Drosophila melanogaster: one gene and its partner. The protein of the gene in region 1 purifies or fractionates together with the protein of each later gene. This does not show direct contact. Each region holds a gene or a part of one and is shown on either strand. Other genes may lie near its edges. The genes, in order: Tsp and slow.

Region 1 (3,929 bases):
AATATATTCAAATAATAAAATAACCGCAAGTCTGAAATGTCTCTCGAACAGGCAGTTATAAATTGTTATGGGGATCTTTGCAGTGGGCGTCTTTTAATTGAATCGCTTGGAATTGAGTAGCAGAGCCCAGTAGAAGCTGCAAAGTGATTGGGAAATCGAGCCAAATAAAATTAAGTATTTTAACCGTTGTTGGGGAATGTGACCAGCTTCATTTGGTCAACATCATTAGCAATCTGTGGCTGCCGTTTCGAATCACAATTCATATTTGTTGGAGGGGAAAATATTCTGTGCTCTGACCTTATATGATCCACATAATTATAGTTCTCGCAAAGGCATAAACCTCAATCTGATCTGCTTTAAATACGTGTGGAAAGTCCGGTAATTAATAAATTATGACTCGACTGCGGTATTTATGGCGCCAATGCAGATAAGATCTCCCCAGATCCCCCATAGATTAATGTCGCTCGAATGGTGAGGATGCCACAGGCCGATTTTGCCGCCAGATTGCGGTTGACTTGGGTGTGGCTAATTAATATGTATCGATAGTATTTGAATTACAACAACAATTAGCTTGATTTATCATCAGATATAAAATGGCGGTGAAATGAATAGAAATCTTGTGAGGCGCTCATAAAAAATATTCATAGATTGGCCTATCAACAACTTGGTGATTATCATGCAATAAAGTCGAATGAAAAGGAGTTAAACTGCTGTGGGTGTGCAGCTAGAAGATGCGATTCTTTAGTCTACAGTCTGTTAAGATTGAAAACAAGAAATTAGCATTTAGCTATTAATAACTTTCTAAATGAATGATATTAATAAACATAGACCCAAGTCGTGATTACTTCCGTATATCTTTCGTTTATCTTTACGATCCTGAGAATATGTTAAAAATGAGATGATGCATCATTATTAACGCAACTTCTTTAAGAACAACTTAATATGCTCTAGTACCTTCCAGGCACTTGAATATGGAATGCACTTCGCACCTGGCCACTTGGCGCACTCATTTTCCGAGTGAGCGGAGTGTAGCCCAGATTTTGGCCACACGAATAAGCAGCATATGTAGAAGCCCGGAGGTCTGGCCCACCTTCACACTCACCTCGTGGTCAAGGACGCTGCTCTTGCTCTAGAGGTGCCCCCACTGCGGATGTGGATGTGATCCAAGTGATCCACTTGGCGGGACGGAACTGACAGCTCCTTGTTGTTTGTGCGGCTCGTTTGCGCCACTTGCGGCTGTCAACGCGCAATTTAGAATGGAAACGACCTGAGTTATTTTTACGAGTATTGCCACACTTTTCCGCCGCTTTTTCCTGGACGCCCGCACAGACACTTTTATTATGTTGTACTTTTGCAGAGCGAAAGATCAAACACGTCGCAAGGGTATCTTCACACTAAAAGAATCGATAACGAAACGGATGCATTAGACCATTTAAACCCTTTTCGAAATACGCGCCAGGTAGAAAAGCTGGATTTTGGAATGGGGACACACGCGAAGATTTCGTGGAGTCGATTTTATGGAATCGCGGTGGAGAACACGCGACGCCAATGCCTACAATCCTCCAGCAACGACAACTGCTCCGCAACTGACTCGCCCGTTCGTGCCAATAAAAATTAAAACACTTTTATGCTATTAAGGCGAACGCGACGCGATCTTGGACACCTTGGATGCAGAGGATGCTGCTTGAGGATCGATCGGATTTAAAAATATGGGCAAAAAACTTTGTACAGCGCGGGCTGATTTCAAAAGCACACTTAGGAAGCGTTTGAAAACTGAAACATTCTCGCGATAGTTCGATCGATTGATGCTACTGATTTATCGCCAAAACTAATCACTGATCACTTATCGAAGCACCTAGGACACGCACCGTCTTGTTCAACGTTCCAACGCGAACTGAAACTGAAAATTTGAAAATGCAAAGGGAATGATCGACGCGCAGCGTCGACTGAGGCAGCGGCAGCGCTGTTGGCTGGAGCAACTTGGAGCAGCGACAACTTGTTGTTGCCTTTCTGCGTTTCTGTTTTGTTCTCAGCTGTTGTTGTTGCTCTTGGGAGAAACGCGGCATTTTGTCTTCGTTTGTGTTTCTTTTGATTTGACGCGTGAGTAAGCCGCGACGCCCACGTGCAAAATTTGCGTAAACATCGACAGTGTGGCCAGATCGCTGCTGAATAATTGAGGAAGTGAGTGGAAAAAGTGGTAGTCAACTTTCAGATCTCATATCTTCCGCTTCCTTAGTAAAAAATAAAATTTTATAATGGGTAATCTTCTTTAAAATATAGGAAATTTAAAATTTATTTTCTATATAGAAAATGTTATTTTAAATATTCTGTAACGATCAGCGCAGTTTTCGTTTGTGCGCTTTAAGTTGCAATTATGTAATATATTGTTTAAAACTGCTGTGTAATTTGTAAGAATAAATATTTTGGTTAAAAGTCGCTCTCTGTGATTATATTTATGGGTAATTACTTATTGTCTTCAGTTCATTAGTTTATCCACCAATTATTATGGTGGAGTCGCCCACTTGGGCTGCCCCAATTGTAGATCGTTTGGGCCATTAAACTGAAACTCAATCCCGAAACATGCTTACATTGTAGGCCCGTTTAAGGCCATTAAATCGGATTCGTGCGAACCCTTTTCCGATAATGCGTCCATCCTTGTTTTCGACCACCACCTCCAAATCCAAAGGAACTCGGTGGATGGGGCCAGACTTTTGCTCTTTTGAAATGGAGATCGTAAATAAACGGCACGCTCTGCAGGCATTCAAAACAGACGAACTACTCGTTAAAACCAGAGCCCAAAATGATATGCATATGGCACCTATTAATGGCTACTTATGCAGTACAAGTGTCCCCCATTTCGGAACTCCCTCCACTCCTATTTGCCGTTGACACGGGACTGATGCGTAACACGACAGTAGCATCGGGATCCAAGGGAAAGGGAAGTTGAATGAATGGCCCGACCTGTTCGTCATTATGTCGCCGGCATGTCAGCGGACAGTTGGAGGAGGGCATTATGCAGATGTGCATTTATCACGGAGTTGCGGTGCTGCGGACACACCCGAGATGCTATCCCACATCAACGCTGCATATTTTGCCGCTTTTCGGACAGCGGCGACCACTTGCTGAAATTTCATTATGTGCGTGATTTATAAATAAGCCTCGCTGGCCCCACGCCCCATTCCACACACTCCTCGTCCGAATCCTCCTCGAGTTGTTCCCAGCATCTTCAGTGGTTACGAGCTAAGACGTCCCACGCACTTTTCGACGCCGCAACAGCAACATCAAGTCTGATCTCCTCCGAAATGCCCCACCTTTACCCCACCACCTCGCACTGCAGTTCAGTGCGTATTAATCATAAAATTGTATTATTAACATGTTTATTTTTCGGTCTTCAAGATTCGATTACACGCATTCTTCCTGCTCTTCGTGTGCAGCGCTTTCTGGAGTGTTTTTTTTTCCTCAGCGAACGTGACTTTGTTGTGCAGTGTAACGAAAGTGAGCTACTTTCTAACACTCTTAGGGGGGTTTGGGATTATCATCAGCCTTCAATTGCTCTAGGAAATATTGTCATTTTACGACTTCGCCGGTTAATTGGGTTACGTGGCTTTGGCCACTGATGCCGACCAGGCCAGATGCCTTGCACCTGGAAATAGTGTGGGAGTTGGCAAGACATGGTTTGATTGGAGTGAAGTTGGTCAAGCTTCCGGCTTAATGATTCAAAGGAGAGTGTTTAATGGCAGTTGATAAATATGCATATCTAAGTGCAAATATTTACCTAAAGGTGTTACCATAGCTCTCCATTCACCCTACAAACTAAAAGCAAGTGCTTATCACTTAATTTCCAACTCAGCCCCTTTTTTTTTGGGCCAATACAATATAATTAAAAGTAGTTAAAGGTCAATTCACCAGCTTATCGGGGAAGTAAAACT
Region 2 (3,929 bases), on another chromosome or scaffold:
AATCGTAACGAAGTTATGGTTCTTAACCTTAGTAAACCTTTTAAGCATGGCTTGTCTTTCATACTTCTCATTAAAAATATATTGCCTGTAACAAAATCGAATCCATTATGCTTTCCCACCTAAACCAGTTAAGAAGATACACTTTGGCCACATGTTGTCGGTCATCAAATGGCTGTCAAATTACCTAAACTCCAATGCAGAGCTGCTGCAACTGATGAAAAAGATCGTGATTATGACGAAGGCGATGGGCAACCCACACGAAATGCTAATGAATTGTTATCAGTTAATTGTCTGAGCGGGGTACCCGGCTTTGTTATCTCAGCTCTTATGCTTTTATGCTTTATTTGAATTCGATTTGGGAACGCGGCGTGGGTGTTCCCCAAACCCAAAGTCCCCACTCAAGTGGCAGCTAATAGCCCAATAAATTGTGATTGTCGGCGGCGAGGAAACCGAAGCAACACACACATAATATTAAGAGAAGACCGTAGTACCTTTGTGCAGCTAAGCGAACTGTCAATGGCTGGCACATTGTTCGATTTATGACCATTCTGTTGGCCAGGGAATGTGCAACCAGTTTATGGGATGGATTCGCACGGACGAATGCTGAATGCTGGATGTTCCACAGCGCAGGCGCAAATCCTTTTGACATGTCCAATGTGCTCAGCATTTAGACAGTGGGCAGCTATTCTGTTGCCAGTGGCTAATAGTATGTGGCAATGCACTTGGCGAAACTATTGTATCTAGCACAATCAAAAAAGTTATATACAAAAGTGATTATGCTTAAGGAAAGTACTGTACATATATAATATAACAGACTTACTTAGGACATGAATTAAAGTACATTTAAAACCTTTATCATGTTTAACCCATGAATTTTTGATTAAATCTAGACTTAGTGGCATTTTTCGAGTGTGGTTGACAGTAGCACTCTTATGATGACAACGACAGATCCAGCACCCGATATGGACAGAAGGGCTGGAAACGAGTTCTTCTTCGCTCTGGGACTCGGATTCTCGATGTGAAAGATCAGCGAGCCGTGGCCTAAACTGGCTGCCCGGCAGCGGTGGGTAAATATTTAACTTAACAACTTGCCACCGACCGAAGAAGATGCAACAAAAGCAGCCGTGGCCGCAAGAACAACAACGGCGGACCATAAAAAGCACAAACCGCAACTTCCAAATAGTTTGAACTGTGCAGAGAGTGCAGAGATGATCCTCCTATAAACAAAACAGCTGTAACGCACTCAAAAACCAGCCAACGACCAGCCGAGGGCATACCTGCCCACTGCGCCGCCCACCACCCACCACTGCGCCCCTCAGCCCCACCACAAAGAGTTCTTCCGCCTGGCGAATTCATCCGCTCCACAGTTGCATCGAACAAAGGAAGCCAACTTGTGCCCCCATCGGTCCAATTTCGTTTGAGCGAACCAGCCAATGTGCACCGAACATGGGCTTCGACTGGTCTGACAGTGCAGACCAGCTGGCTATTTCTAGCTGTAAAAAAATATATACAGATTATATACAGACTAATAAGAATACACCTGAGAAACATATTAAAATTCCACTGATATTTAGCAAGATAAATTGAGTAGTAAAATCTTACATATTTGTAGAAGTTTGTGTGGCTTCTTATTTTAGAGAAATTTACCCTTTTCAAAATTTTGCTAAAATATCAGGTAAAGATATTTTTAAAAACAAATATATATGTAGATTTCAGAAAACTCGACGTATTTTCTACGGCATCTACAGTTATCCCGATTCCAAAGAAGTAAACAAAAAGTAAAGTGTGCTACTGATATATGAATGAATCAATGTTTAAGAAAATAACTAAATATTTACCGATGTTCGGAGTGTTCAGAGTATACAATCTATATACTTTTGGCTCCACTTTCCGACTGCACTGGCAGCGCCGTCGATCGCCGATCGTTAACTGGACTTTCGGTTTCGGCTGTGCATTTTCAGTTCGTCTCGGGACTTCTAAGCGATCGGTTTGGATTTCGTTAGCTCCGCCGCGCCAGCTGGAAATTTGTATCTCAAAGATCGCAGCCAGTTCGCTCGGTTTTTGTGCCTGGCATACGGAAGCGGCTAACGCAGAATCCGGAAAATCACAAGAGCCGTATATATTTCACAAATATATATATATAGTATGTTTCGAAAAGGCCCATTCACGGCCATTAAAATATTTTATTGTACAAAAAAGGCACAGTGCCGCGTATCTGCTTAATGTCAGCGCGAAAACTCAATTCAATTTATTGTTTGTGATTGCAAATTTGGCATAATTGTGCTTTGATTTATTCGCGCGTGTTTCGGGTCATCTCTATAAAGAGGAATTTTAAATCTGGGCAAGATTATCTCTGTTTTTCTCTGAACACTGGCTGGGTCAGTTGGAATTTGTTCGCCGTGTGTAAGTCACATGCAAATAGCTTTAATTAATTGCAATTACTTATGATTTGAATGTGTGTCAAAGCGCGGTGCGACATTTCCTAGTGCATTAATCTTGCTCAAAATCGCATTGCCTATCCTGTCTAGGAGTTACATGTCACTTATGGACGTAATTTGCATTTTTGTGGAGCGGCTAACTAAGTTGGCTTACCATTTACATATGCGCTTTGGCTGCCAAACAATGCCATAAATGGTCTAAGAATTAATTATCGTGAGAACTTCAAGACAATGTCTTTATTAAATAATTGTCAATAATTCTGAGTAGTTTTCAATGTACAATTTGTGATAATTTTCTTGGTAATTTTCTACGGTAATTTGCACCTTGATAAAAAGTGTTTAAGACAGTGTAATTTGTTTCCGTGTTTTCTTCAATGCAAATTATTTATTTCGAAATGGCAATAAATTGCTCAATAAATTTTATTTCTTTCAACAATGATCTGATAAAGGATTAATTCATTGCTTCGTTTTTGCGTAAACAAAGATTGTTCTGCGGAAATCTTGTAATTTATTTTTACTCTTTTAGATAAGTTTAAAATATATATATTTTATATAACCATTTTTCTTCACTATCGAAATGAACATTTTATAGCCCAACATTATTGCTGACATGAATGCAACCAAAATAAATATGTAAATCTTGTGACGTTATCGCCATCAAAAATTAGTGTAAATAATGTGACAAAGCGGAAAACGACACAAATCAAAAATAGATGTATCAATACTTTCCATTGTTTAGACTAGTTTGGCTAACAATTATGCATACATATGGCTAAATGAGTTTCGTTTTTTTTTTGTTTGCCCCAACGTGCATTCTGCATTCTCACACATATCGTTTGGCAGGTGAGCAATCAGAAATCGAAGTTTGGGGCACGATCCGTGGAAAGCGATCGTGCCTTTCTGCGTATCATAGTGTCTATACAAATGTTATTATGGTTAACGCCACTGGAAAGTGGGGTGGAGTTTGTTGTTGGTTTTCTTGTTTTTCCTCGACTTTGCTAATTAGACAAAGTCATTTCCATAAATTACGCAGCTAACGGTAACTGGGTTTATGACTTTTGTCCGGCTTGGTCGCGGGTCAACATGAACCATAGCTATATGCATACATATATATGGATATATACTATTTGTTCATATGGGCAATGGGTCTGCGGGGCACGTGTGGGCGTGGCCTCCGCCCCCTTGCAGCTGCAAAGCAATTAGCAAAAGACTGGACATGCCAGCAAATTGAGCTCTGCTGTTGCAGTTTTTCCTTTGGCCTTTTTTGGGTCGCTGCAATTGTTATTGAAATGAGTTTTCGCGTTAAAAACAGTTGAACTTGCTGGAAAAAGGTACATGTATCTCACAGTTATCGATCACAAATGAGTAATTGGCCATTAGAAACGGAATATGGTCACAGGATATCAAATAAAATGAAATTATTATTGAAGGCTATACTCAGCAGTATCTGTAATTATAAATCCATTAAATCTAAAATTGTGCAATATTTTT

What was found.
Region 2: the proteins of Tsp (region 1) and slow purify together in Drosophila melanogaster (affinity purification with western blotting, with the first as the bait; one study listed by BioGRID). This does not show direct contact.

The regions. Positions count from the first base shown.
Region 1 is NT_033779.5:6,707,185-6,711,113, forward strand, and holds the start of Tsp (thrombospondin), read right to left. Parts: upstream 1,903-3,929; 5' UTR 1,103-1,902; intron 1-1,102.
Region 2 is NT_037436.4:4,382,485-4,386,413, forward strand, and holds the start of slow (slowdown), read left to right. Parts: upstream 1-1,957; 5' UTR 1,958-2,143; exon of another isoform or gene 2,144-2,403; intron 2,404-3,929.